Linked DNA regions of Macaca mulatta. The protein of the gene in region 1 interacts with the protein of each later gene in a pairwise test. Links are inferred from orthologs where the notes say so. Each region holds a gene or a part of one and is shown in the gene's direction. Other genes may lie near its edges.

Region 1 (3,851 bases):
TAAGTTTCCTCCATGTCTTTTCATGTCTTTATAGCTCTTTTTTTTTTTTTTCAGTGCTGCACGGTACTTTTTTTGTTAGACGTGATTCAAGAAGTAATATAACAAGCCACTAGCTCCTTTTAGCTAATCGTGGTGAAAGAACTTTCAAAGTTCAACACATGTTCAATTTGTGGATTGTTATTTACAGTTATAAAGATGTTCATGCTGTATTTTGTTTAAATCTAGAATGTTTAACAAATTATGAAATAATAAATATTAAAGGATAACTCAACAAGTATATCAGAACATATGACTTTAGTACCATTCAAAGCTTTTGTAGGCTTTACTTATTTAACCTAAGCTTTCATATCTCCAAAGCATCTTTGGGACTACTCTTGACATTGATTTTAGGGCTAGGTTGAGATACTACTATGAACTTCATTTTTAAAATTACACGTTTCCAATAAAGTAAAAAGTTGGTAGAGATTGGTCATACAACTTATTACCAAACTTGTCTCTAATGACATATAGCTATTTCAGAAAGTAGATCTAATGGTAAAGGATAAAGTATTTCCATCAGTGAAAATACTTCATATGATATAGGCCATCGAGGCAGCCCTGAGAAGTGGATACTTGGTCATGAATAGCACTGATAAATGCTAGAGTGTCAGAGTGTGTCAGAATGATTTTGGCAAGTTTAACAGTTACAAATTATATTACCTTGTCATCATCCATTTATGTCAGTGATAAACTGTGCTATTTTCATAATTTCTGATATTCTAAAAGTGTTTAGCATAAATCCCTTGCTATACTTGCTGTGATGAAGATGATTTCAGTGGGACATGCTAAAATGGTAAATATTAGCAACTTAGTATTTATTTTTTAGGTGTTTTTCTGATATGTGACTTTTTATATGAATATGGGTATGCTTTTTTCTTATGCAAATATTTTATTTTACTTGGACTAATTAGTAAAAGAATAATGAAATGTAAAATTTATCCATTTTAGAATGCACTTTGAAAATATTTATTGTGGCAGCACTATGAAATACTGGTTATAAGACATGTAGAATAGTACTTCTACAATTTTTTTGTGATAGCCTTAAAAGTATTTAGAATATCAAATACAATTTTGATTTGCAGATTTCCTTTGAAAAAATGTATTGCTGACATGTTTGAAATTAAACTTTCTTACATAAATCTTCATTGTTTTAGTTTCTTTTTGGAAGTACTGGATTTAGCTTATAAATTATATAAGTATATAAAGTAAGTATAGTGTATTGTTACAATTTTCTTCTTTTCTTTTTCAGGCTCAAACTGCTTTTTCTGCAAACCCTGCCAATCCAGCAATTTTGTCAGAAGCTTCTGCTCCTATCTCTCAAGATCGAAGTAGGTTTATACTTTGAGTTCATTCTCTGTGAACAGAAATATTGTTATCTTCTTTTGCTCAAATAAGGAATCCAAGATTTTTTTTTCTTGACAGGCTGCATAAAATTGGTAGTTAAGCTCAAATAGTTATGAATAAGAAAAAAAAGTTTACTTCAAAAAATAACCCTTTTTCTAATTAAGATAGTGAACTGTGGATATGGGGATGTATTTCATGGCTTAATGAAAATTGATTTTAGACTGACTTGTAAATCCCTAACATGTGGCTGATTCATTTATGAATGAATTATATATATGAATTCACATGTAAGAACTTTTTGAATTCACATTTAAGAACTATCATCATGCTGCTGCTGTTGAACTTTCTGAATTGTCTTCTGTCTTTCCTATGGGAGCTTCTGAAATTTCCAACCACCTCCTCTTTGGGAAGCCTCTTAAATATTGAGGCCTTTATTCATTCTCTGTATCCTGTCTTTAGTCCCTTTTTCTTCAAGGTTCAGAGGGATTCAGGACAGAGCTTCTAAATACTATGACTTAAGATACAAAATAAGTGTTAAATAAATTTTGTGGCCTGTCATTTTGTCTTACAACAGTTTATAACCTTGCCTCATAGAAAATTCATTTTAAGTCACAGATAATTTAAGTCTCATGTAGAAAAGAGCTTTTGGAAATAGTATATAACTACTACCAGGTGAAATAATGTTAATATTTAAAAATACCATTTGCAGGATTTCATTGGAATGTAGTTAAAATTACTAAAATTGATAAGACACTAAATAAATTTACAAGCTTTCAAAAAAAGATTGTTCAGAAGAATCATTCCATAGCCCTGTTTACAGAATGAGTTATAAAGTAGCTGACTTGACAAATAGATATTTTGGTCAGTTGTTCTGAATTGGTAAGTGGTATTCTTACTAAATTCCTAATCAAGTAGGTTTATTTTAAGAAACAGGAAAGGCAAGATAGTTTATTTGGAAAAGTTATTTCTACTTTTGAGTGTTTAGGAATCTGGTTGTTTCAGTTCAGATGTCTTCATATTTTATGAATTTTAAACATTTTCTGTATTTTCCATTTCTAATGGTTACAGAGATGGGGAGATGCCTTTCCAAATTGCTACTTTAAATTCATTCTAGATTTTATAACTTAAGTATAATTTCGTTAATACACAGAAGCCCATAATAAAAGAAGTTTTCATTTTGTGTATTCTGTAAGTACTTTTTAATTTATTCATTCATTCATTTACTTATTAGATCTCTATCCCAAACTATATCCGGAGCTGTCTCAATACATGGGGCTGAGTTTAAATGAAGAAGAAATACGTGCAAATGTGGCCGTGGTTTCTGGTGCACCACTTCAGGGGGTATGTACAGTGTAATTAATTTTGAATTATATAAAACCATACTTTACATATTAATATAAGCTTTCCTGTTTGTGGCTAACTCAAAAATATACAACAGCATTGAACCTCACTTCGCAGAAATTTTAGACTTCCTTTTGGATATCGTTTCTTACATAGTCTACTTCATTTTGTGCTACACGTTTTGAGTTTATTAGGATTTAGATTCAGATACCTTTTACTAGTTCATTCTCCTTTGTCTTCTGCATTTAGTCATTTACTAAGTCCTGTTGATTCTGTTTCTGTTTCTTGTATTCATTTTGTCTGTTTTTTATCCATTCTAGTCCTACTATAACCATATTCAGGGTTTCTATACTTCTAGCCTTCATTATTATAGTACTCTCTTAAATTTCCTCTAGTAACTTATTTCGATGGTACTAAGCTGTTGCTAAGTTAATCATTCTGAAATACACATATAGGTCTATCGTATCTTTGTTGCTCATAATCTTTTTTTTTGTTGTTGTTGTTGTTGTTGAGACAGAGTCTCACTCTGTCACCCAGGCTGGAGTGCAATGGTGTGATCTCAGCTCACTGCAACCTCTGCCTCTTGGGTTCAAGTGATTCTCCTGCCTTAGCCTCCCAAGTAGCTGGGACTACAAGTGCGTGCCACCATGCCCGGCTAATTATTTGTATTTTCAGTAGAGACCGGGTTTCACCATGTTGACCACACTGGTCTCAAACACCTGACTTCAGGTGATCCACCTGCCTCGACCTCCCAGAGTGCTGGGATTACAGGCATGAGCCACTGCGCCAAGCCTTTGCTCTTTAGTCTTTTAACATTCTTTTTGAAATCCAAAGCTCCATGTAATTAGACTCCATATTCTAGCTTAATTATAATGGATCTGATAACCTTTTATTAAGGTTATTGCTATGACCATAGCACTTTGTACCACTTATTATAATTGTAGTTAAATCTGTGTCTGTCTTGTTGCCATATCCCAATGCATATACAGTACCTAGCATGTATGTATTTACCAAATATTTATAGAAAACTTGTGTTAGTGGTGATGCAGTTGGGAAAACAAATAATAGTAGGTATTTTAAGAGGTTGAAAAATTGAAAAAAACATAATTGCAGATAGCTAGTTGCTT
Region 2 (4,377 bases), on another chromosome or scaffold:
ACGGGAAGACACAGCTCTGATCTGGCAACTCTACCTTTCTAAAAGCGTCCGAGCTCCGGGGTGCCCGAGTACCGACAGCCAAAGAACCACAGCATTTACACTTTGCCAGATAAGGAATCGGCTCTGTGAAGGTGCGAAGAACCAAATGCTAGCGATTAATGTCCCAACAACGTGAAAACTTCCTGCAACTCGAAATCCTCAATGGAAACTCTTGTCGAATCCTTGTCGAAACCAAATTAACGATGACTTGTTTCTACAAAGGCTACTGATTTCAGGAAACTAACGTATAACTCGTCGCCTTAAAGCGCCTCTAAAAGCATCCACGACGGTTAAAGTCGCTGCTACTACGAGACGCTATTTATTCAGCGCCAAGACCCAAGCGCCATCGTGGATCACCCCATTCCTGGCCACGGCGACCCTAGGGAGCGGGTCCTAGGAGCCTGCTGGAGGGCGACCGCTGAGCCAGCTGAACCAGCTGCCTCTCTGCTGACTGAGGGGAGGCCAGGCTGCCTGCAAGGGCGGGGAAGGGGCCCTTTCCGCGCTTACCAGGGTGAGGGCCACCTCCAGCATGGGGGCGAGGGCCAGGGTGCCGTGGAAGAGGGGGATGCAGTCCACGAAGAGGGTGTGGTGGGCGCCCGGGCCGCCCAGGGGGAGGTGCTCCTTACGCGGCTTCTGCTTCTCGGCCACCAGGAGCCCGTTGACGGCGCAGTGCGGGTACTTGGCGCCGTGCAGCACCATCTTGCAGTAGGCCTGGGTGGTCAGCTTCACCCCGGGCATGCTGACCCGGGAGGGCCCCGAGGCCCCTGGGCGCGCGGCTGAGGCCTGGACCCGCTGCCCGGCCGCGCGGCGCCTCAGCCGAGAAGCGGGACGAGCCGGCGGTGATTGATGGCACGGCCGCGGGCTGGTGAGGGGCCCCTCAGGCCCGGCCCCGTTCGTGCCTCGGCTCCTCGAAAAGCGATTCGCGCCTCTGGGAAGCCGCAGCCCCAGACCCCACTCGCGCTTCTCGCCCGGCGCCGCCGGAAAGCGGTCTCCCCAACGCCTGCCGGAAAGCAGCCCGGCCCGGCATTTTACGACGTTCTCAGCGCTACCCTTTTCCGCTCCACGGTGACCTCTGCGCGGCCGGGTGCAGGCGGAGTCTTCCTCGATCCCGTGGTGCTGCGCGGCGCGGCCTTGCTCTCTTCCGGTCGCGAGACACCGGGCGTAGAGGGCGGTCGCGGCGGGCAGTGGCGGCAGGTGAGGCAGGAGGTGGCCGGTGCGGGGCCGCAAGGCCGGGCCGTGTCGGGGGGCCGGGAGCCGTCGAGTCTGCACGCCCGCAACGTGGCCGCCCGGCTTCCGCAGGAAACACTGAATGGGCCTCGGAGCCAGGTGACATTGAGGCCGGCCCGCGGGGACTCCGGCCTCCATGGCTGCAGGCTCGGAGGGCGGTCCCGAAGCGCCCGGTCCGTCTTCGCCAGTCGCGCGGCGGCTGCGGGCCGGCCTCGGGCAATGACCTTGGGAGCGCCCGCTGGCCGAGGGCGCAGGCTGTGGGGAGACGGGCCCGCGCTCTGTACCTGCATCCTCCGCCCTTGCTCCTTCAAAGGTCCCTGCAACCCCTCCCGGGTTTTGCGGGGCTCCCGGGCGGCGCTCGGCTTCCTAGCCTGGAGGGCGCCAGTTGTTTCCAGTTGTTTGCTCACGCATGGGCTAGGCCCAAGGAGAGAAGTTAGACGCGGGCGTTCAGCCCTGACGTCATGCTTGTTTATTCTGCCCCGAGGAGGGTATTTTCCCACATCACCCTCACCATTCCTGCGAAGGGTCGATTTAAAGGGGGCGGTGTAGGGTAGATGGACCTGAATCGAGGAGGACCGGGGTGAGGCGGGGGTCTACCAGGTTTTCCGCTCTCCTCAGGGATTGGAAATTGACCGGGGCTGTGTTGGCAGCCTTCTCCAATTTCCCCTTCTAGTCTGTGTATATGCGGTATTAGGTTTTAAGCAAATACTCAGTTGAATGTGATCGTGCCACCATCCCTGTGAGCTGTTACCTCCCCCCACCGCCCCCTGAAGAATGGAGCCTGTAACGGCAGCACAGTGCTTTAATGATCTCTAACTTTCTCACTGTCGCTTTGTTAACATTTTTTCTTCTTGCCTTTTTTTGTTTGTTTGAGACGAAGTCTTGCTCTCGTTGCCCAGGCTGGGATGCAGTGGCGCGATCTCGGCTCACTGTAATTTCTACCTCCCGGGTTCAAGCGATTCTCCTACCTCAGCCTCCCAAGTAGCTGGCATTACAGGCGTCCACTACCATGCTTGGCTAATTTTTGTATTTTTAGTAGAGACGGGATTTCACCATGTTGGCCAGGTTGGTCTCGAACCCCTGACCTCAGGTGATCCGCCCTCCTCGGCCTCCCAAAGTGCTGGGATTACCAGCGTGAGCCACTGCGCCTGGCCTTTCCTTGTTTTTTTAAAAAGACCAATGTTCTGTTAATTACCTGAAGCTCGTATACATTATGGCAGTTGATTTATAATGAAGCTCCTTAAAAGCATGCGAACTACTAAGAAAAACCTCATCCTAGGTTATTTTGTGAATTCAAAGACAGTAATAAAGAATGGATCATTTGCGTTGGGGAGAAGCAACTAAAAGAATTTAATTCCAGAATGCTCTGGGGCAAAAAGAAGACTCATTCCTTGCTGTTTGCCCTTATTCATAGAGAAGGTGTACATTTTTATCTTTCAGAATGTTGGCTACCAGGGTATTTAGCCTAGTTGGCAAGCGAGCAATTTCCACCTCTGTGTGTGTACGAGCACATGGTAAGTGTGACTTTTCTTTCTTTTGAATAGGCTGAGCTAATTTCATTTTGCTCCTGCTGTGTATAAGGCCTTGTGCTGGAGTTTTAAAGACCTTAGTTTGGCTCTTGAGGGTCTTTAGGGGAGATACAAATATTCTCACAGGGCCCGGTTTTAGATTAAGAAGTGTTTAGGAATCAAATTGAATCTTTTCTGGATCTTTGGTGATACCGATATTTCCCCCCTTACCCTTCCCTTCCTTTCCCCTTTTTTAAGCTTCAAGATCTACCCCTTTCAAAAGATCTTCTGCACCAAAACTAACCTTAATGACCTCCCTCCCCACCTTGCCCCCACAACTCCCAACCATTTGCATCACGTCTGTTTACATTATAGAGACAATGGAAACGAAGGAGCCTGGACTTCATAGCCTGAGCTGGGTTTTCATCTCATTTCTGTCAAGGACTAGCTACTGAAGCTTAGGAATCTCTTTGCTCACCTGAAGTGTATGGACAGAGCTTAGTTCTGTGTCTGGCATACAGCACATTTAGTTTTACATGTATCTGGCATCTGTCTACTTTATACCAGACACTGTTAGACACCGAGAAGAAAAAGAAGACGAAATACACACTCTTTCCAGGAGGCTGTTTGCAATCTGAAGAGGGACAGATGGATGAAGACAGTGTTTTATTAAGAGATGGCTCCTGGGTAGAAACATTTAGCCCAATGTGGGGTTCAGGGAAGGCTTTGGAAGAAACTCTCCATGTAGACTCTGTAGAGTGTGCACCCTGCCTGGTTAGAGCTGGTCCTGCCTGCCTTTCTGATCTCATTACTGACTATTGTGCTCGAAAACCAAAAACCACCATCAGAACCACCCCTCCCCACTTGCTCACTGCCCCAGCCCCCTGGCCTTACTCCATTCCTCCCGTAGAGCGCTGAGTTGAGGATGGCCACTTCTGTCTAATCATTCACCCTCAATACAAATGTGCTTTTAGAACGGCCTCTCCTGACCACCCTTTGTCAGGAAGCTCCCTGTCACTTCACCTTGCTGTGCTTTTCCTTATAACACTGGATGCCTCATGAATGCATGTCTATGTGAGTATCGCTGTCTCAGCCTGTTAGAGTGTAAGCCTTTTGAGGCCGGGGACCCTGCCTATCTTACTCATTGCCGTATCTCCAGCACACAGGAGGCAGATGAAGACGAACTACAGGCTCTTAGACAAGTCTTGTCTGTTAACTTTTTTTTTTTCTTTTTTTTTTCTTTTTTTCGAGACAGAGTCTCGCTCTGTCGCCCAGGCTGGAGTGCAGTGGCGCGATCTCAGCTCACTGCAAGCTCCGCCTCCTGGGTTCACGCCATTCTCCTGCCTCAGCCTCCCGAGTAGCTGGGACTACAGGTGCCCGCCAACTCGCCCATCTAGTTTTTTGTATTTTTTAGTAGAGACGGGGTCGTTAGCCAGGATGGTCTCGATCTCCTGACCTCGTGATCCGCCCGTCTCGGCCTCCCAAAGTGCTGGGATTACAGGCTTGAGCCACCGCGCCTGGCGTCTGTTAACTTTTAACTTATGTAAGTCACACATGAATAATACATGAAACTGTTCTCAACCTAAGATATTAAAGCAGTCTA
Region 3 (4,378 bases), on another chromosome or scaffold:
TGTCCTGTGTACACATCCAGGTGGGGATGGGCCAGCACCCACAGTGGGTTCAGTCCAACCAGCACCTTCTGAGACTGTGTAGCAAAAACTGGGCCCAGCTCTGGGATGTTAATAAGATGTGACACTTGCATCCAGGGAGGTCGCCATCTGTGTATGTGGAGCCCATTCTTATAGAAAAAGAGTAAACTCTGCTAAGAGCATAGGAAAGACTTGGGAAAAGTACCCAGCAGGGCAGCAGAAAGGCTCCTGCAGGGACGACCTTTGAGCTGGGTCCTGAAGAGGTGGCAAGGAACCAGGACAGAACATTGGGAAGGCCCTTTACCGCACAGAAAACAGCTGAGCAAAGTTCCCAATTCCGCGAGATGGGAGCTGAGGTCGACCAGGAGCGTGATCCCTGGTCTGCATCCCACACAGGGCTTCCTGCAACACCCAGAGCACAGCGCTTGCAGAGGCCCGGCCTGTGACAGGCTGGGCCAGGTGATAAGGAATTTCTGTCACCTCAGGTGGGTGAGAACCACCTTCTCCCTAGCTTCAACGTTAAGGAAGGGATGCCAGCGTCCTTCCAACCACTTCCTGTTCATTAATTCCTTTACTCATCATAACTCAGACAGGCATCAATATCCCACTTTGCAGAGAAGAACACGGGCTCCAGGAGGGGAAATGGGGCCACCGAGGCCCAAGTTAGTTAGCAGAGGCCTGCCTGGACACCAGCGGAGCACAGCCTACTCCGAAGGCCTGGCCTCGGGACCTGTCGAATGCCGAGACTCCCGCTCACCCTGAACCCATGCAAAACGATCTCACAGGGAGCGGCGGGGAGTGGGGGGACCCCGCAGCTGCGCGACCCCTCGCTGGAGCTGCTGGGCCGCCCCGCCCGCCGTCCTTCCTAGCGGCAGTGCTGGCCGAAACCCGGCCCTGCTGGGACCCGGAAGGATCCGAATCCGCCCCCCTGACAGGGTCCTCCCCGCCGAGGCCAGAGGCAGGCGCACGCGGCTCTACAGGCAGCGGCGTCGGTTCCGGCCCGGCCCTGCCCCCAACGGCTCCGCTCTCCCGCGCTCACCCCGAGCCCAGTCCGCCATCGTGCCCTGCCCCGGCTCCTCGACGCCAACACCGACGCGGCCACAGCCGCCTCAGACGTGGCGCAGTCACGGGGAACGGGCTTCCGGCCCCGCCCCCCGCCAGCGATGGCCCCGCCTCCGCGCCAACCACGCCCCTAGATGGCCCAGCCGCTTCCGCGTCGGGCTCGCTGATTTCCGGCTTAGGCCCGAGGGTGGGGAACCGCGGGGTCGCGGAAGCGATGGGCGTCGCTGTGACTTATTTTCAGCACTGTCGCCCAGGCAGTGGCGCGATCTCAGCTCACTGCAGCCCCCGCCTGCCGGGCTCCCAAGGTGCTGGGATTACAGCAGCACCGCGGATGTGACGTTTGTTTGTTGTTCCTGTGAACGTGGGGCGGGGCGGGGCCGTTTGCTTGCTCAGTGCCAAGACGATGGTGGTGGAAAGACGCTGCCATGCGTTAGGTCCTAACGGTTAGGAAGGATTCACAGGCGGGTCATGAGGGAGGAGTAGGCCCCTCGGGCAGAAGCCCGCGAGGAGCCCTGGGTGTGGAGGGGGCAAGGGTGCCTCCTCTGTCAAGTGGAGATCGGCGCCTCGCTAGTGCCTGCGAGTGCGCGCCGCGTCGAATACAGGTGTGCGGAAAGCGCTACAGGAAAGTGAAGCAGGGAAAGAGACTGGGAGGCGGCACGGGGAGTGGGGGCCGTAGACGCCTTTGCTCCCGGGCACTTGTTACAAGAGCCAGTGGACCGCGCTTCCTGTGCGTCACTGAATCCTCCTGATGGCCACTGAAACGGACACGCAGGATCTTTGCTTGTCAAGAGGGAACTGAGTCCAGGCCAGACTGCGTTGCTCCCCTTTCTCTCGGCCCCTCACGGCCCTTCCACCTTTGCAAGTGCTGCTCCTTCTGCCTGGAGTGGCTCCTCCAGTCTTTTCCCAGCTCGCTTCCCATCGTCCAGTGTTAGCAAAAACACCACTTCCTCACAGCCCTTGCAGCCCAGCAGTCACCTTTTGCTTCTTTTGAAGCACAGCCCTGTGACCGCCTCATGTCCTTTTGTTTTTCCTTGTCTGCCTTCCCCTCTGGAACATAAGCTCCACAAAGGCAGGGGCCTGGGAGTCCCGTTCGCCTGCATTCCCCAGCAAACGCCTAACGAACCCAATGGCCCGGGACTGAAAAGTCCTTTCCACTTCGGCTTTCCCGTCTACATCCCATCGGTTCTGTGGAGCTCGAGGGGCGTCACTGTGTGTGTGGCAGGGCGCGGTGGGGGCTGAGATCCTTTCCTGTTGGAAATTCCGGCCCAAGAAGCCCCGGTCACAAGGAGGGGGATCAGTCCGGTTCAGGGCGACTCGGCCCGACTCGGGTCTTCCGAGCCGCCAGTGCTGCCTCAGGCCGCGCCCCCTTGAAGCGCCACCAGACGCCGCGTCCCGTCCCGGCCTCCCCCGCGCGCTGGCGCGGGGCTTTCTGGGCCAGGGCGGGGCCGGCGAACTGCGGCCCGGAAAGGTTGAGGAAGGGCCCGTCCCGCCTTCCCCGCGCCGGGTTCCGGGGGCGCCATGGAGCCCCGGGCGGTTGCAGAAGCCGTGGAGACGGGGAAGGAGGATGTGATTATGGAAGCTCTGCGGTCATACAACCAGGAGGTGAGCGGCCGCCTGAGGCCGGGGGGCGGGCACGGAGGGGGTGGGGCAGGGTCGTGCGCGGGTGGTCGGGACGGTGTGGGTGAGGCAGGGGTTGTGTCAGCAAGCAGAGGGGACGCGGCGGGGTGGGGGTGGCACGTCAGGGATGCAGTGTTGGGGGGAGAGTGTCTGGGGTGCACCCGTTGGGTGGCAGGTGTGTAGGGATGGGGGCGAGTGTAGACCCTGCCACCCCTTCTGAGCAGTGGCTGCTGCCTGAGTTAGAGGCCAATAGGCCGCCCCCCGTCAGCGGGCGCGGATACTGCCCCTCTGTGGACTTGAATTCACTCGTTCTCTCTGCAGCACTCCCAGAGCTTCACGTTTGATGATGCTCAACAGGAGGACCGGAAGGTGGGTGCTGGCCCGAGGGGTAAAGGGACAGGGACGGGTGGCCCCAGGAAGAGGGGCCTGGTGGAGCCGCTCGTCTCCCTGCCCACAGAGACTGGCGGAGCTGCTGGTCTCCGTCCTGGAACAGGGCTTGCCACCCTCCCACCGTGTCACCTGGCTGCAGAGTGTCCGAATCCTGTCCCGGGACCGCAACTGCTTGGACCCGTTTACCAGCCGCCAGAGCCTGCAGGCACTGGCCTGCTATGCTGACATCTCTGGCTCTGAGGGGTCCGTCCCAGACTCCCCCGACATGGATGTTGTACTGGAGTCCCTCAAGTGCCTGTGCAACCTCGTGCTCAGCAGCCCTGTGGCACAGATGCTGGCAGCAGAGGCCCGCCTAGTGGTGAAGCTCACAGAGCGTGTGGGGCTGTACCGGGAGAGGAGCTTCCCCCACGATGTCCAGTTCTTTGACTTGAGGCTCCTCTTCCTGCTAACGGCACTCCGCACCGATGTGCGCCAGCAGCTGTTTCAGGAGCTGAAAGGAGTGCATCTGCTGACTGACACACTGGAGCTGACGCTGGGGGTGACTCCTGAAGGGAACCCACCCAAGCTCCTTCCTTCCCAAGAGACTGAGCGGGCCATGGAGATCCTCAAAGTGCTCTTCAACATCACCCTCGACTCCATCAAGGGGGAGGTGGACGAGGTGAGCCCTGACCTCAACCCATGGATGGGTCTCAACTCAGCTCCAACATTTCCTGGACCTGCTTCCCACTGGGTACCTTCAGGTTTCTGGGTGTCAGACATGGAGAGAACAGGACCTCCCAGCGTGTTGGGACAAGGCCAAGGAGATGCCAGTTCTGGGCTGGGACCTTAGGGGAGGATTCTGAGGGAAGTAGAGGCCCCTTCTGGCTCTTGCTGCCTGGCAGGGGGCTGTGTGCTCTCCGGGGAGACTGTAAGAGATCCTCCACCATGAGGCTGTGAGTGGGGCTGAGACAGAGTGTGACTTCATCCCAAGGGTGTGTGTTAACATTCCTAATCAGGGACGTGCTCTTAGAAGAATACTCATGGAGTTTTTAGGAAGACAGCAGTGGTCATCTTTTGCCCCCAGCACTAGCCAGAGTCACCTAGGAGACCCCAGGGGACCAAGTGTGCAGTACAGGAGGTGCACAGTCATTGCCACACAGTTCTGGAGTGCAACAGACAGTAGAGCCTCAGCAGGCAGCAGTGGGATGAGTGGGGCTCCTCACAGGAACCCTTCTTTCTTTGGTCAGGAAGACGCTGCTCTTTACCGACACCTGGGGACCCTTCTCCGGCACTGTGTGATGATTGCTACTGC
Region 4 (3,851 bases), on another chromosome or scaffold:
TGTTTATACCCAGGCAGGCAAACTTCTCTGGAGTCTGGGCCCACCCGCAGACAGATCATAGAAAGATACAAGATTAGGAGCCCTGGAATGCGTGTTCTCGCGGTGCACACGGAGTGGGGGAGGAGCCAGGCCAGGGCTAGGGACCTAAAGTGCTTCCAGTCTCCATCCGCAGCCCCAGCAGGCCCCTTGCCCCTCTCCCGGGCTGGCTGGGACGCTGGGTGTGGGCGTCTCTCCCTCCTGCTCTTTCCCTCCCACCTGCCTCGTTTCTTTCCTGCCCTCAGCTGTCTCCCCCCTTTGTCTGTCTCTACCACTCCCTTATCTCTTTGTCTCCATGCCCCCCCATCCTTCCCTGCCCTCATCTCCCGCTCCCTCTCTCTCTCCCCCATACAGTACTATGAGATGTCCTACGGTTTGAACATCGAGATGCACAAACAGGTACGCCCATCTCCTTCTCCTCCTCCTTCTCCTTTCCCCCTCCTCCCCCTCTGCCCCCCGCCTCCAGCACCCCCGTGGGCACCCCCAGGCAGGTAGCAGCCGGCCTTTGGCTGGGCACCCAGCCAGCCCTGTTATCCTGTTACCTCCTAAGCCCTTCCCAAGCTCCCACTCTCCTCCCCACCGCCTCTTTCTCAGGCCTCCCTTGAAGTGTTTTCTGGGGGTGGCGGGAGAGGCGGAGACCTTCCCCACAACCTGTGGCCCCCAGCCCTCCCTACATTCCCACGAGCGCTCACTATCTGCCAGGGGCCTGAGTGGCCCAGCCCTGAGGAATGTAGCCGAGGAATGTGCAGTCTGGCCTCATCCTGCATTTACTGCACTCTAAGCTGCAGGCGACAGCCGGTCTCCAGCCCCACCTTTGCCACTGACTGGCTGCCCTTGGGCCCGAACACGGGTTTGCTCATCCCACCCTGGCCAGACCTAGCCCCTCTTAGAGAGAAGCCGCAAGTGGCAGGGCTGGGCTGGGCCCCGTGCGGGCCTCCTGGGGCTGGCCTGCACCTGCCACCCATCCAGGACTGACGCTGACTTCATCTGTGTGTTCCAGGCGGAGATTGTCAAAAGGCTGAACGGGATTTGTGCCCAGGTCCTGCCCTACCTCTCCCAAGAGGTAAGAGCCAGGGCCTCAGGGAGGGGGTGCCAGGGGGCCCTCCCCTTGCCCAGCCCCTGTCCGCTGCAACCATCTTGGGGGGCGTGCTGGGTGCCCCAGGGCACATGCCTCCCCTCTCTGGACCTCCCCGGCTCTGGACACCAGAGCTGGCCTATGCAGAAGAATCCCTGGGCCAGAGACACTCCAGGGGTACAGGGGTGTGGGGGCCGGGCCTCACCCTGCTCTGGAATTCCCAGCTGGAGTGAGTCATGTCATAGGTAGAAATGTCGGATGGGCCAAAACTGCACCAGGAATGTTTTTTTCTCATCTCTCTTCCTCCTTTCACCCTCTTGAGAACATCCTTCAGGCGCTGCGGGTGGCACAGAACCAAAGACTAGAGGGTGTGTTGCGGGGATGGGGTAGCACAGGGCGGTCCCCCATGGACACAGCCACATAGATAGGTATGAGCACATCAACATACGGGAGATACACACACAGACGCAGACACACACGGATACACGGCGTGTGCAGACAGCACAGGGCCACACACGCAGGAATGTGCAGCTACACAGTAAGCACATGTGATCCTGAGCACACACTACCACATGCACACACACCCAGAGGAACCTGATGCCCAGCTTCTCTTCTCCTTTCTTGGGTTCTGAGGCTCAGGATGCAAGGCTGCCCCTCCCCAGGGCCATGTAAGGCCCATCTCCTGTCCCTGCCAAGTTTACTGTCAAAAATTTGTAATTTCCTCTTTAATCGCTGTATCTCAGGATCCTTTGGGTGCCCTGCTTTGCCCAGGGACAAGTCTAGAAGGACCCAATGAAAGCCCTAGAGAAAAGGGCAATTGGAACTCTTCAGAACGGAGGCTTCCTGGTGGCCAAAGCAAAAAGGGAGATTGATAGATTCTAGCATCTGCTGGCCACAGAGTCAGGTGTTTGGGGAGAGCTGGGGGAGGAACTGCCCTGAACCTAGGCCCATTCCCCAGCTGGCTCTGCCAGAATTCATTGGGCCCTCTCCAGCCATGGTAGGAGAAGGGCTCAATTTGGCCGGACTCAGGGCACAGTCTTGGAGCTCCTAGGATCAGGACATCCCTGTACAGTTGGGCAGGTTGTGTACTGCACAAATATTCACGTCTTTCATGTCTTTGTACATGGCTGCGGACATAGGATAGGTCAGGATCCGGGGTTTCTCCCAGACTCACTCAAAGGCCGTTTTCTAACTACTTGGCACAAAACCCTTTTAATCGTTTTCTGCACTTTTCCATTTATCTCCATTGGCCAGATGAAGAGACGAGCTTGGTGAAAGGAAGCAGTTGGAGAGAGGGAAGGCGCTTTCTGATGGGGTTGAAAACCACTGGGAGGAGCAGACATGATGGCCCCCTTGGTAGCGGGGCTCCTCCTGGCCCCAGGGTAGCCACCGCCTCCTCTCTCAGTCAGGATCAGGAGGAATCACTGCCTCTCCTCTCTCCTCATCCCCTTCCAGCACCAGCAGCAGGTCTTGGGAGCCATCGAGAGGGCCAAGCAGGTCACCGCTCCTGAGTTGAACTCTATCATCCGAGTACGTATGGGGACCTGGGCGGGTGGGCGGGGGACAGGTGGGCCCTAGGCAGCTAACGTTCCCCTCCCCCGTCCTGCAGCAGCAGCTCCAAGCCCACCAGCTGTCCCAGCTGCAGGCCCTGGCCCTGCCCTTGACCCCACTGCCTGTGGGGCTGCAGCCGCCTTCGCTGCCGGCGGTCAGTGCAGGCACCGGCCTGCTCTCGCTGTCCGCGCTGGGTTCCCAGGCCCACCTCTCCAAGGAAGACAAGAACGGGCACGACGGTGACACCCACCAGGAGGATGACGGCGAGAAGTCGGATTAGCAGGGGGCCGGGACGGGGAGGGTGGGAGGGGGGACAGAGGGGAGACAGAGGCACGGAGAGAAAGAATGTTTAGCACAAGACACAGTGGAGCTCGGGATTGGCTAAACTCCCATAGTATTTATGGCGGCTGCCTGCGGAGGCCCCAGTCCGACTTGCAGGCCACCTCTAGCTTTCTTCCTACCCCAGTCCCGGCCTCCCTCCTCCTCCCCTGCAGCCTGGATAGGTGGATACCTGCCCTGACATGTGAGGCAAGCTGAGGCCTGGAGGGTCAGATGGGAGACCAGGTCCCAAGGGAGCAAGACCTCGAGAAGCCCAGAACCCCTGGCCATTCCCCCGTTTTGAACACGTGTAACTGACAGTCTGCCCGGGCCCCTCGGGGCACACGCCACTGCGCTCTCACCCTGGTACTGCATGCACGCAATGCTAGCTGCCCCTTTCCCATCCTGGGCACCCCGAGTCTCCCCCGACCCGGGGTCCCAGGTCTGCTCCCACCTCCACTTCCTGCCCCACTCACCACCTCTGCTAGTTCCAGACGCCTCCACGCCCACCTGGTCCTCTCCCATTGCCCACAAAAGAGGGGGCACGAGGGACGAGCTTAGCTGTGCTGGGAGGAGCAGGGTGAGGGTGGGCGACCCAGGATTCCCCCTCCCCTTCCCAAATAAAGATGAGGGTACTAAAGTTGTCTTGGTTTTTATTTTATTATTATTTTTTTCTTTTTCCAGTATACTAGCTTGTCTTTTAAGAAAGGGGATATTAAAAAAAAAAAGACAAAAATGTTTTTAAAAAAAAAAGCAACACCCACACCTGTGTCTGTATATAGTCAGCTTATCTTGTGTTCAGTCGTTTGATCTCTACAGAGAGAAGTGGAAAATGCTGTATCAAGGGTGGGCTTAGCTGTGCCTTTCAAAT
Region 5 (4,098 bases), on another chromosome or scaffold:
CTTCCCGCGCTGAGCTCAGCATGACTCAGCAGTCGCTGCCTGCAACAAGGACCCCAGATACCGGCCTGGCGAGGCATCTGCAGATCCCCTCGGTCAGGGGCTGCCCTGCCTGGGCTGCTCGGAGCGGCTCCTCTGTAGGGCAGGGCCTGACCTCACACCCCACGCCCCAGTGGCTTCAGCTCCCTGCCCAGCGCACGGGCTACCTCCATCGGGGCACTTAAGCAGGGTCAAGGTTTGCGCCGACTCCGTCTCCCAGAAATCAACATGGACCAGGTCCGCTTAAAAAATACGCATTAGAGAGGCCGGGCGCGGTGGCTCAAGCCTGTAATCCCAGCACTTTGGGAGGCCGAGACGGGCGGATCACGAGGTCAGGAGATCGAGACCATCCTGGCAAACACGGTGAAACCCCGTCTCTACTAAAATACAAAAAAAAATTAGCCGGGCGAGGTGGCGGGCGCCTGTAGTCCCAGCTACTCGGGAGGCTGAGACAGGAGAATGGCGTGAACCTGGAAGGCGGGGCTTGCAGTGAGCTGAGATCCGGCCACTGCACTCCAGCCTGGGCAACAGAGCCAGACTCTGTCTCAAAAAAAAAAAAAAAAAAAATACGCATTAGTTGTAGACAGACGTCTCGTCCATAGGTCCCCAGACTGTGTGTCCACAACGCAGGGCTTCTCTTTGTGGGCCTGAAAGAGCACACGTCAGGCAAGACACGACGGCAACTGCGGAGACACTGTTTTCAGGGCCAAGGAGAATTCTCGGAGTCTGTGAGTTGCCTCCAAAACAGCCCCCAGGACACGCAGTCCCAGAGACACCGCAAAGCTCGAAACAGACATTTCATTCCTCCCCATTTCCACTCCCAGAAAACGACTGGGCCCTTAAAAGAGCTCCAAGGTATCCCCAAAGTCCCAGCCAGTCTTTGGAGGGTTTCCGAGGGCTGTCCAGGGTTCCAGAAGTCACCCTACCTCATACAATGCTCCTCCTGGGCTTCCCGCACTGGGGAACCCCACGGCTCCAGAACAACTGCCCTTTCCAACTTGCAGAGCACCTCAAGGACCTAAAGATCTCCCCGGGGAGGGCTCCAAAATATAGAGTTTGCATCGTGAACTCCCACCTCTGTAAAGCCCAGGACTCCAGTCCTCGCACCCCTCTGTCTCCCAGAGATCCCCAGGGGTCCAGAAATACCACCTCACTGCCTTCCAAGCTTCCCAAGGATCCGGAGACTCCTTATCTCGCAGCACAAACCTCAGGCAACTACAGGTCCTCCCCGCACCTCTGAGTTGCCCCTCCCCCACTCAAGGTTCCAGAAAAATCCATGCCCTCCGAAACCCCACAATCTGACTTACTTTCCCGAGGCACCCCCAGGACCCCAGGGTCATCAGTTCACAGGACTCTCAATGCTCCCATAAAACTATAGCCTCCCAGAGGAACCCCAGCCCCCACCCCCCCGCCCACGAAACCCTCCATTCCTCGAATCGGCCCCAGGGCCCCAACCCCCGCAAGCCCCCATTTCACAACACACTCGCGCTGCAGGCGCGTGACTTCCCCCTGCTTTGGGGCGGGGGCTGAGACTCCTGTGTGCTCCGGATTGGTCAGGCACGGCCTTCGGCCCCGCCTCCTGCCACCGCAGATTGGCCGATAGCCCGCTCCGAGCGCCCCGCCTCCGAGGGCCAGCGCACTATAAAAGAAGCCGCCCTAGCCACGTCCCCTCGCAGTTCGGCGGTCCCGCGGGTCTGTCTCTTGCTTCAACAGTGTTTGGACGGAACAGATCCGGGGACTCTTTCTTCCAGCCTCCGAGCGCCCTCCGATTTCCTCTCCACTTGCAACCTCCGGGACCATCTTCTCGGCCATCTCCTGCTTCTGGGACCTGCCAGCACCGTTTTTGTGGTTAGCTCCGTCTTGCCGACCAACCATGAGCTCCCAGATTCGTCAGAATTATTCCACCGACGTGGAGGCAGCCGTCAACAGCCTGGTCAATATGTACCTGCAGGCCTCCTACACCTACCTCTCTCTGGTGAGTCCCCAGGACGCCCCTGGCCCTAATTTCCCCCAGCTGCGCACGTTCGGCCCTCAGCGCAGGCGCCGGCCTTCTTTGTCCGGTCGAGTAAACAGAGGGCGGAGTCCCCCTTGGCCTCGCCTCCCGCTAAGCGTTGTTCCCTCCATCTCTTTCCTTAGGGCTTCTATTTCGACCGCGATGATGTGGCTCTGGAAGGCGTGAGCCACTTCTTCCGCGAATTGGCCGAGGAGAAGCGCGAGGGCTACGAGCGTCTCCTGAAGATGCAAAACCAGCGTGGCGGCCGCGCTCTTTTTCAGGACGTCAAGGTAACTAGTGTGTGGGTAGGGTAACGGACTACATCTCCCAGCAGGCCGTGCGCGCGAGGAGCCTTGATTTGAGGGCTTAGATGTCGCGTGGGCTTCGGGGAGATTGAGTTCGGTCTTGTGAGCCCTTTTACGGCTGGAAATAGAGGCGCACGTCGTGCAGTGCCCCCAGGACGCGGCAGTCCACACTGCTGCGTAGACTTAAGGACGTGTAGCTGTAAGAGCTAGGACGGGGTGCGGAGAGTGATAAATACAAGCTGTCACATGTCTTTGTGGCCTGGGCCTCTGACCCCCACCAATTCTTGGGAAATGTAGGTTTAGTTCCATGTGCCGAGTGTGTGTATTCTGAAGCCGTTTCTCCCTTCTGTATAGAAGCCAGCTGAAGATGAGTGGGGTAAAACCCCGGATGCCATGAAAGCCGCCATGGCCCTGGAGAAAAAACTGAATCAGGCCCTTTTGGATCTTCATGCCCTGGGTTCTGCCCACACGGATCCCCATGTACGTACCCCCTGCATCCATGGCTACCCAACCATACCCCTCAAGCCTTTGCTCTCTTTGGGCAAATTCCCTTCAGAGCCTCATTTAACACCTGTCATATTTTAATCTGCAACTGGCAGCTCTTTCTCCCTCTTTTCCAGGGATCGGGTTTCCTTTTTTTTTTTTTGAGACGGAGTCTCACTCTGTCGCCCAGGCTGGAGTGCAGTGGCCGGATCTCGACTCACTGCAAGCTCCGCCTCCCAGGTTCACGCCATTCTCCTGCCTCAGCCTCCCAAGTAGCTGGGACTACAGGCACCCGCCACCTCGCCCAGCTAGTTTTTTGTATTTTTTTTTTTTAAGTAGAGACGGGGTTTCACCATGTTAGCCAGGATGGTCTCGATCTCCTGACCTCGTGATCCGCCCGTCTCGGCCTCCCAAAGTGCTGGGATTACAGGCTTGAGCCACCGCGCCCGGCAGGGATCGGGTTTCTAATTTCTCCCTCTTCTCTCTCAGCTCTGTGACTTCCTGGAGACTCACTTCCTAGATGAGGAAGTGAAGCTCATCAAAAAGATGGGTGACCACCTGACCAACCTCAACAGGCTGGCCGGCCCGGAGGCTGGGCTGGGCGAGTATCTCTTCGAAAGGCTCACTCTCAAGCACGACTAAGAGCTTTCTGAGCCCAGCGACTTCTGAAGGGCCCCTTGCAAAATAATAGGGCTTCTGCCTAAGCCTCTCCCTCCAGCCACTAGGCAGCTTTCTTAACGACCCTAACAAGCCTTGGACCAAATGGAAATAAAGCTTTTTGATGCAGTTGGTGGTTTTGTGTGTGGTATGGAAGATGAGGTGGGATCTGTTCTCATAAAGCTTCTGGCTGGGTTGGGGATGCCAGTGAAAGAGGAGTTGGCCCCATCTCCCATTTTCTTATCTCTTCTAAGACAAGAAGCTATCTGGGTAGTGTTGAACTTGAGGGTTCTCTGCTTGCCTGGCTGTTAACTGTCCCTCCCAGATGGTAGAGATAGCCTCCAGGGAGTTGAATTAAGACCTAGGTTGGTACCTGGACACAGATCTGTTCGGTTTCAGCCAGAAACAGCACTATTTAATGAGTGATTATGAGGCCAGGTGGGCCGATCAGCTGATGTCAGGAGTTCGAGACCAGCCTGACCAACATGGAGAAACCCCGCCTCTACTAAAAATACAAAATTAGCTGGGTGTGGTGGTGCATGCCTGTAATCCCAGCTAGTCAGGAGGTTGAGGCAGGATAATCGCTGGAACCTGGGAGGCGGAGGTTGCGGTGAGCTGAGATCA
Region 6 (4,449 bases), on another chromosome or scaffold:
GAGAAGACCCTGTTTCAAAAAAAAAAAAAAAAAAGAAAGAAAGAAAGAAATAGAAAACCTAAATAGCCCCATATCCTTAAAACAAGGTTCCAAATGATTTTGTTTTTGTTTTTGTTTTGAGAAGGAGTCTCACTCTGTTGCACAGGTTGGAGTGCAGTGGCATGATCTCGGCTCACTGCAACCTCCGCTTCCCAGGTTCAAGCAGTTCTCCTGCCTCAGCCTCCTAAATAGCTGGGATTACAGATACACGCCACCACACCCAGCTAATTTTTGTATTTTTAGTAGAGATGGGGTTTCACCATGTTAGTCAGGCTGGTCTTGAACTCCTGATCTCGTGATCCACCCGCCTCAGCTTCCCAAAGTGCTGGGATTACAGGTGTGAGCCACCGCATCCAGACCAAATGATCTTTAGGAGAAAAAAGGAAATACTGGGGTAAGCACAGTAGGAGATCACAGCAGGGGCCCACCTCCGGAACCTCAAGTAAGGACCTGAGAGAGAAGGTGGAGTCAGAGTAACAGACACAGGCAGGTTAGCCAGCTCTGCATGGAAAAGACTGAGTTGTGATGATGTCACAGTTCTCCCCAAATCTCAAAGTCACTGATCAAACAACTCAGTTTACACTGAAGACGATGGATGGGGCTCTAATTTGGTGCCCACAGCTTGACACGCCTTTGGGAATTTGGTTTCAGTTTAACTTTCTTTGCCGGTACACAGATCTCACTGTGAGAATATATGATCAATCCAGATCTCTATGGATCTATATCCTCCTTGGGCAAACCTAAATGCAGACACTTTTAGCACCCATAGGAGTTAAGTCAGGATTAAATAAGAACATTCCCTCCCACTTGGGGGCACATTCGCTGGGAATCCCAGAGCGATGTCGCCTGCCCACACCTGCTAGGTGTGCTCACAGGGCATCTAATTCCCTCTCCTGAGTTCCTTTTAAGCAAGCAAGGGGATCTATGTCCAGAGAAGCAGTTACTGTGTCTAAGTAAAGTTACTGCATCTTAGGAAAAGGCAAACATTCGCATTTTGCGTGCATGATGGGCGCACACCCAAGAAAATTACTCAGCACTTGTTTTTCTCACTTTGGGGTTTTCCCAAAATAACTTCTTCAGTCCAGCTGCCATGAATCTGGAGCCCCCGACTGACCCATCAAGGTTCGATTTGGCTTCAGACACCTCTCAGATCACTCTGCGGCTCAGAGCCCGGATCCTGAAGGGCGCATCGTGGGCAGGGGGCGGGCCCAGGAGTTGGAACAGAAGGCACAGACGGCCCCTCCTCGGAGGGGAGGGACCGAGGCCGGGGCCTTGTTCTTTAAGACTCGCAGCGCTGGATCTTAGTCTGCGCGGCGGCATTGACACTAGCGGCATTGACACTAGCTGGGCTCCTCGGGGCGCGCCCCAGGTGGTCCGAAGCCTGGTCCGCCCTCCAGGTGTCCACGCAGGTGTCCCGCGCGCCCGGGTCAGTCATGTCGTCCTGCAGCCGCGTGGCGCTGGTGACCGGGGCCAACAGGGGCATCGGTTTGGCCATCGCGCGCGAATTGTGCCGACAGTTCTCGGGGGATGTGGTGCTCACCGCGCGGGACGTGGCGCGGGGTCAGGCGGCCGTGCAGCAGCTGCAGGCGGAGGGACTGAGCCCGCGCTTCCACCAACTGGACATCGACGACCTGCAGAGCATCCGCGCCCTGCGCGACTTCCTGCGCAAGGAGTACGGCGGGCTCAATGTGCTGGTCAACAACGCGGCAGTCGCCTTCAAGAGTAGGTGCAGGGCTTGGATTGGGGCCCCCTGGAGCGCTCCGAGGGTGCGGGGCGGCCAGCCGCAGGCTCCCCACCCAACCACTTGAGTGACCAAGGAGGGTGGCGCCGGCCCCTAGGGATGCGCTCAGCCCACGCCTCCCGCGAGGCGGTTTTCGCTTTCCGTGATTCGCTGAGCCCCAGGCGGGCCCGGGCGACAGACACAGGGCGCCCCGCCCGCCGGCCTGTGTGGGCCTGTGCGCGGCCCGGGGCCCTCCCCGAACTGTCAGCCGCTGCTGTGTGCAGGAAAACTGGCCTCCTGGGAGGCGGCAACGCCCTGCTGGAGTTCATCAGCTTTCCTTCCAACGCAAGAAACATTTTCTCTGCAAAGAAAGTGTCACCGCTCGCTTTGGGCTTTCGCTTTCCTTGAAAGGGCGCATTCATAGATGCCCGGAGGCATTTGCTTGGGGAAGGAAATGAATCGCTAGAACAGGATTAGCGCGCACTTGCACTTGGTGGACTTCACAATTTGTGTAATGCAGAGCTTTGATAGGCTCTGACCAAAAGGAAGCGAGCCCTCTCGTTCCCTCCCCCGGGGAGCTTATGTTTGTTATAAAACATGTGTGTGTGGTCTTAAAAGCATCTTCCTTAAGGAGAGGGGCGGGGATCAGATTACTTATTCTAACTACTACTGAAGAAAATTACAGGACGGGCGCAGTGGCTCACGCCTGTAATCCCAGCACTTTGGGAGGCCGAGGCAGGAGAAACGCTTGAACCTTGGAGGCAGTGAGCCGAGATCGCGCCACTGCACTCCAGGATGGGCGACAGAGCGAGACTCCGTCTGGAAAAAAAAAAAAAAAAAGTTACCACGGAGAAATAAACAGGCCGGCTTCACCTCCAACCTAGTGGGGGGGGGAGGGGGGAGCCTAAGAGGGAGTGAAATGAAGGATGGGGGAGCAGAAGTCTCCACTCATCCCTTTGGCCCTAGGCACTCTGCATTGTTGTACACGGGGACCTGAGACTTTCTTTGACCCGCACCGGCAACTCAGCCAGCCGGCTTTCTGGGAGCTGGGGTGCAGGAGTGGGGATTAACACCCCTAAAGCAGCCCTCAGTCATGGGCTGAGAAATTGGCGGATAAATACCCGGCTTCCTGGACGACAGGCGGAGGGACTTCCCCTTGCCTTTCAAAGTGTAGGGAATGGACCAGCAGCAGCTGCAAACCCGGGCACTCATGGCAAGGCAGAATCTCCCGCCTTGCCCCACACCTGCTGAATTAAAATCTGCATTTCCGCTGGACCCAGTGGCTCACGCCTGTAATCCCAGCACTTTGGGAGGCTGAGGCAGGCAGATAACCTGAGGTCAGGAGTTCAAGACCAGCCTGGGAAACATGGTGAAACCCTGTCTCTACTAAAAATGCAAAAATTAGCTGGGCATAGTGGCTCACTCCTGTAATCCCAGCTACTCGGGAGGCTCAGGCACAAGAATCACTTGAACCCAGGAGGCAGAGGTTGCACTGAGAGGAGATCATGCCCCTGCACTCCAGCCTGGGCAACAGAGCGAGACTCAGTCTCAAAAAAAAAAAAAAAAAAAAAAAGAAAAGAAAAGAAAAAAGAAAAGAAAAAAAAAATCTGCATTTCAACAGAATCCCCAGCTCCCTCCTATGCACCTTTGAGAAATGGTAGTCAAAGCCAAGTGTTCTCAAGGTGTGGCTAGAGACCAATAGCTGTCACATCATCTGGGAACTTAGCAATGCAAACTCAGGCCAGGTGCGATGGCTCACGCCTGTAATCCCAGCACTTTGGAAAGCCGAGGCGGGTGGATCACTTGAGGTCAGGAGTTGGGGACCAGCCTGGCCAACATGGCGAAACCCCATCTCTGCAAAAAATAAAAAAATTAGCCAGGCGTGGTGGCACGTGCCTGTAATCCCAGCTACTCCAGAGGCTGAGGCAGGAGAATCGCTTGAACTCCAGAGGTGGAGGTTGCAGTGAGCCGAGATTGTGCCACTGCACTCCGGCCTGGGTGACAGAGTAAGACTCCATCTCGGAGAAAAAAAAAAAAAGAAAGAAAGAAAAAGAAAAAAGAAAGAAAAGAAATGTAAATTCTGGAGCCCTACTCCAGCCCTTTGCAATCAGAAACTCTGATGGTGAGGCCCAGAAAGCTGTGTTTTAACAGCTTACAAGTGATTCGGACGATTCACTTGTGATTCGGTGACTCTACAAGTGATTCGGATGCACACTAAAGTTTGAGAATCACTGACCTCGTTTTTAAAAATTGTTTTAAAATTAACTTTTTTTTCCCTTTAGTTGTTCGGAGTTAGGATCCACATTGTCATGTGAGTTTCAGGGGGAAAAATATGACTTTCTTTCTGTTTCTTTCTCTTTCTGAAAGGTGATGATCCAATGCCCTTTGACATTAAAGCCGAGATGACACTGAAGACAAATTTTTTTGCCACTAGAAACATGTGCAACGAGTTACTACCGATAATGAAACCTCATGGTAAGCCCAGCGTGTGGACAGTCGGGTTGCTTCCCTCAGTAAGAAGCGGGCCACAGGCTCCTCGGAGCAGGGCTGCCCTGCAGAAATCACTCAGCGGTGCTAGTTCTCTGAAGGGGGAAAAATAGAAAATGGCTTCATTTTCCCAGTGTTTAGCTTCTCACTCCAACATTTAAGGTTTTGTTTTTTTTTGTTTTTTTGCAGGGGTGTGGGTGGTG
Region 7 (3,851 bases), on another chromosome or scaffold:
ACTTGGTTACCTTACAGATTTCTCTTTCGCTTCCCTTCAGCTCTTGCTGTCTCCATTCTATCCTCCAGACCTTAAAGACTTATGCCACCTAAACTGCTTTGTAAAGCTCATCAGCTGCTTAATTACAAATTCAACTAACATGGCCGATGCCTTGCTCTTAGCTGACTGCTGACCTGCTCTATTCTTTGGGTGCTAGCCCTACCTCCTTGGGCTTGCCTCTTAAATATCTGTCAAGCTGTCATCTGGTTTAAAGTACAGACCAATTAGTGGTTCTTTCCAAATCAAATATACTTGTTAAAGCTGTATTTAATGGGGTAAGGGTTAAGCTGCTATAACAGAGTTGCTATTTTTTGCTGTAAGGTTAAGTGGCTTGAAGAATACAGAAGTTTATTTCTCTCTCACTTAACAGCCATCTTACTGCTCATCTCAGTTCAGTGACAGGGTCAGTGTCTCTCCATGAGGTAGAGATGTGGGTCCCTTTCATCTCGTGGCTCCCCCAGCCTCTAGGGCATTAATGTTGTCTGCGTGATTCAGTCAAGTCACCACCTCTTCCAGGTTTCAGAGAAACAGGGAGTGGCAGAGGTACACCCCATATCTTAAGGCCAGGTCTTTGGAACTAGACCACAACATTCATTGCTGAGAAGTAGCCAGCAGTGACTTAATTGCAAGGAGGGCAAAGAAGTGTCATCTAGCTGGGCAGCCATGCAGCCAGGAAAAAGAGAAGAATAGAATTTGATGGAGATCTAGCAGTCTCGACCACAGAATGTCTTATGCATTTTCATTTTTGGCTCTTTGATCAGTTCTTCAAGACTAACAATTAAATTACCTCTTTCTTTTTCAGGCAGAGTTGGGCCTAAATGAGCACCATCAAAATGAAGTTATTAATTATATGCGTTTTGCTCGTTCAAAGAGAGGCTTGAGACTCAAAACTGTAGATTCCTGCTTCCAAGACCTCAAGGAGAGCAGGTATCAGAGGAGGACTCTAAGCAAACCAAATAGGAACATGGATTCTTTCTGGTAGCCAGTATGGGGGTGCCATAGCAGATGTCAGTCAATTTCTGGGATTCATCATGATCAATTATTTGCTAACAGCAGCTATACTAAGCCTCATGGATAGAGGAAACAAAAGAAGTTGTATCGTGGTGGAAGCAATGAATCTATTATCAGAAATGCATGTGATAATTATAGGATTCCAGAGCTTCAGAAGGGTAGTCAGGAAGTTGCCAAGGGTTTGTGGATTAATGATTGGCTGGTTGTATTAAAGATTCCAGAACTTTAATTACTTGAGTTATTAATTAAATGGTTAGAGCTCTAAGACATGGAAATTAGTGAGAAAACACGTCTGTGTTTCATACTGAATAATTAAGAGAGAGGAAAACAGCAGGAAATCATAATGCTGACTAGTACCAAAATTGTTAGTTGATTTCTAGCATGAGATAATAATGGTTGGACCATAGTTGATTTTTAGCAAGAGATGAATGTCATGTCAGACATAAGTGAAAAAGACCTCCAAGTGAGCTCCAGCTGCCATAAAACCATGAATGTGTCAGTATTAGAGGCCATCAGCCTTAGACCATTCAGCCCATTAAACTCATCTGGTAATCTGGTTTCCTAACCCCCAGCAGATGAAAGCAACAATTTAATTGGCAAGAACATATGTTCTATTAAAGAATATAGAAAGATTATTAATATTTTAATAAAGATTTTTGTAAAAAAATGTTCTGGTTTTTTTGAGAAGGACTAAATTCTGCTGGCTAGATGAAACATTAAAGAATTATAAAACAAATACTATTAAGTTTAACTCTGATAATGCTTTAGTGTAACTGGGTCTTGCTTGATGATGTCTTTTTGGAAGTAGGAAGAAAATAAAGCTGAGGTTGGTGTAGTTGCCCTTCATCTGCTGAGAGTCTGAGGGAGAAGGGACTTTGGAGGGTAGAGGTAGGGAGAGGAGAGGACTGTGTTACTGTGATACTGTCATTGAAACTAGAAGGCACACACGGAAGCTTTTTCAAGGATTCAGCTGTTGGGCATGAATCCTTTGCCCAGCACCATTGTTGAAGATGATTGTGGGATTTATCACCACCAATGTGACCATAGGCAAGTCACCTCCACTCTTCAAACCTGTGTTCCTATCTGTAAAGTTAGGGTATTGTAGAAGATGGCACCAAAGTTCTCTTCCAACCCAAGCATTCTCTATGTGAGAGTAGTTGTTTTTTGTTTTTTTTTTTTGAGACGGAGTCTCGCTCTGTCGCCCAGGCTGGAGTGCGGTGGCACAATGTCGGCTCACTGCAACCTCCACCTTCTGGTTTCAAGCAATTCTCCTGCCTCAGCCTCCCAAGTAGCTAAGATTATAGGCACGTACCACCATACCCAGGTAATTTTTTGTATTTTTAGTAGAGAAGAGTTTTTGCTGTGTTGGCCACGTTGGTCTCGAACTCCTGACCTCAAGTGATCCACCTGCCTCTGCCTCCCAAAGTGCTGGGATTATAGGTGTGAGCCACCATGCCTTGCCCTTAGAGTAGATTTCTAATGCTGTTGTTGATGATGATACTCATTTTTGTGGAGTGTTCAGTGGAACTTTAAGATAAGCTAGTTTATTATTATTATTATTATTATTATTATTATTATTTTGGGTCTCAAGAATGCAAAGAGGAGCAATATATAATTACCATTTATTTCCCATAGACATTTACTAACCTGTGAATAGTTCATACAGTTACTAAAATGCTAGAGAAATATTAGAAAGAAATAAGACTATGCCTTCCAGGTTACTTTTGAAATTATTAAATGTAATAAGACTGATTTCAGTGGAGTTTGAAATAAGACATTTAATACTAAAAAGTTAAAGAAAAAAGTAGATGATGGTTTGGGGAATGTGTTTGAGCATTTACTTGTATTAAATGATGTGCACAATTTAATCATTTGAATAGATGTCAAAAATTAATTGAGTTTAAATTATTTTCAATGTTTATTAATAAAGAAGATAGTTCCCAGAGAGATTTTCACTGTAATCTTTGAATTTCTTAGATTGCATGAATGTGGGTTTCTTAATTTTGTTGTATTTTGTAGATTTTTTTTGTTGTTTATCCATAAGTTTTGGATCATGGTTGTTTTTCAGGCTGGTGGAGGAGACCTTCACCATAGATGAAGTCTCTGAAGTTCTCAATGGATTGCAAGCTGTGGTTCATAGCGAGGTGGAATCTGAGCTCATCAACACTGCCTATACCAATGTGTTACTTCTGCGACAGCTGTTTGCACAAGCTGAGAAGTGGTATCTTAAGCTACAGACAGACATCTCTGAACTTGAAAACCGGTAATAAAAGTTGAACTTGCAACTGTGACAGTAGTGGCCCAAGCATGATCTTAAAAGTTAGTGAATATCTTTGCTGCATATTTTCTTGCGGCTGGTGTGTGAGAAAATTTGGGTAGGGTAACAGCAAAGCATTGAGTCACTGAGTGATCTCTTGGGTACCACTAAGTGCCCTTTTAAAAGTTCTTTGTTTCTACTGTTCCTAGGTATTACAAAGGCCATTGAGGTTTATGAAATTGCTTTTCAGGCTATCATTAATTATTTTTTACTGCATTTTTATTAGCTTGGTCAGTATTACCATCTGTCTTTATAGATTGGTCAACTAAGAAATAAAGATTATGAGGCAGTTGAAAAGTCAGTTCAAATACAATAAATACCATCAATTCAATCCAGTAGCATTGGAAGTTTTCTAAATAATTGAATTTAAAAGTATACATTTATTACTTTAAAATAGGAAATATAAAATACAAAAAAAGCTTATAATATGGACATCAAGAGCTCAAATTCAAAAAATATGGTAAAACTGGTGAAGTTGAAACTC

What was found.
Region 2: the proteins of SDCBP (region 1) and COX4I1 interact in binary tests that used the Homo sapiens proteins (3 or more experiments, as listed by UniProt). The two-hybrid records come from large-scale screens. The link is inferred for Macaca mulatta from reciprocal best matches to the Homo sapiens genes SDCBP and COX4I1.
Region 3: the proteins of SDCBP (region 1) and RIC8A interact in binary tests that used the Homo sapiens proteins (3 or more experiments, as listed by UniProt). The link is inferred for Macaca mulatta from reciprocal best matches to the Homo sapiens genes SDCBP and RIC8A.
Region 4: the proteins of SDCBP (region 1) and TLE5 interact in binary tests that used the Homo sapiens proteins (3 or more experiments, as listed by UniProt). The two-hybrid records come from large-scale screens. The link is inferred for Macaca mulatta from reciprocal best matches to the Homo sapiens genes SDCBP and TLE5.
Region 5: the proteins of SDCBP (region 1) and FTL interact in binary tests that used the Homo sapiens proteins (3 or more experiments, as listed by UniProt). The two-hybrid records come from large-scale screens. The link is inferred for Macaca mulatta from reciprocal best matches to the Homo sapiens genes SDCBP and FTL.
Region 6: the proteins of SDCBP (region 1) and CBR3 interact in binary tests that used the Homo sapiens proteins (3 or more experiments, as listed by UniProt). The two-hybrid records come from large-scale screens. The link is inferred for Macaca mulatta from reciprocal best matches to the Homo sapiens genes SDCBP and CBR3.
Region 7: the proteins of SDCBP (region 1) and LZTFL1 interact in binary tests that used the Homo sapiens proteins (3 or more experiments, as listed by UniProt). The two-hybrid records come from large-scale screens. The link is inferred for Macaca mulatta from reciprocal best matches to the Homo sapiens genes SDCBP and LZTFL1.

What each region holds. Positions count from the first base shown.
Region 1 is NC_133413.1:69,251,098-69,254,948, forward strand, and holds part of SDCBP (syntenin-1), read left to right. Parts: intron 1-1,288; coding exon 1,289-1,367; intron 1,368-2,614; coding exon 2,615-2,724; intron 2,725-3,851. UniProt on the Homo sapiens protein: Multifunctional adapter protein involved in diverse array of functions including trafficking of transmembrane proteins, neuro and immunomodulation, exosome biogenesis, and tumorigenesis.
Region 2 is NC_133425.1:81,189,204-81,193,580, forward strand, and holds the start of COX4I1 (cytochrome c oxidase subunit 4 isoform 1, mitochondrial), read left to right. Parts: upstream 1-1,365; intron 1,366-2,685; exon of another isoform or gene 2,686-2,706; coding exon of another isoform or gene 2,707-2,707; coding exon 2,708-2,780; coding exon of another isoform or gene 2,781-2,784; exon of another isoform or gene 2,785-2,786; intron 2,787-4,377. Other genes in the region: EMC8 (ER membrane protein complex subunit 8), read right to left, coding at 547-777. UniProt on the Homo sapiens protein: Component of the cytochrome c oxidase, the last enzyme in the mitochondrial electron transport chain which drives oxidative phosphorylation.
Region 3 is NC_133419.1:82,899-87,276, forward strand, and holds the start of RIC8A (chaperone Ric-8A), read left to right. Parts: upstream 1-1,471; 5' UTR 1,472-2,598; coding exon 2,599-2,682; intron 2,683-3,018; coding exon 3,019-3,066; intron 3,067-3,154; coding exon 3,155-3,745; intron 3,746-4,313; coding exon 4,314-4,378. Other genes in the region: BET1L (BET1-like protein), read right to left, coding at 1,058-1,076.
Region 4 is NC_133424.1:3,847,811-3,851,661, reverse strand, and holds part of TLE5 (TLE family member 5), read left to right. Parts: intron 1-390; coding exon 391-435; intron 436-1,036; coding exon 1,037-1,099; intron 1,100-2,566; coding exon 2,567-2,641; intron 2,642-2,720; coding exon 2,721-2,942; 3' UTR 2,943-3,851. UniProt on the Homo sapiens protein: Transcriptional corepressor. Acts as a dominant repressor towards other family members. Inhibits NF-kappa-B-regulated gene expression. May be required for the initiation and maintenance of the differentiated state.
Region 5 is NC_133424.1:61,421,085-61,425,182, forward strand, and holds FTL (ferritin light chain), read left to right. Parts: upstream 1-1,708; 5' UTR 1,709-1,909; coding exon 1,910-2,011; intron 2,012-2,172; coding exon 2,173-2,319; intron 2,320-2,688; coding exon 2,689-2,814; intron 2,815-3,306; coding exon 3,307-3,459; 3' UTR 3,460-3,485; downstream 3,486-4,098.
Region 6 is NC_133408.1:11,285,198-11,289,646, reverse strand, and holds the start of CBR3 (carbonyl reductase [NADPH] 3), read left to right. Parts: upstream 1-1,373; 5' UTR 1,374-1,472; coding exon 1,473-1,761; intron 1,762-4,126; coding exon 4,127-4,234; intron 4,235-4,449. UniProt on the Homo sapiens protein: Catalyzes the NADPH-dependent reduction of carbonyl compounds to their corresponding alcohols. Has low NADPH-dependent oxidoreductase activity.
Region 7 is NC_133407.1:109,183,958-109,187,808, reverse strand, and holds part of LZTFL1 (leucine zipper transcription factor-like protein 1), read left to right. Parts: intron 1-841; coding exon 842-966; intron 967-3,118; coding exon 3,119-3,313; intron 3,314-3,851. UniProt on the Homo sapiens protein: Regulates ciliary localization of the BBSome complex. Together with the BBSome complex, controls SMO ciliary trafficking and contributes to the sonic hedgehog (SHH) pathway regulation. May play a role in neurite outgrowth. May have tumor suppressor function.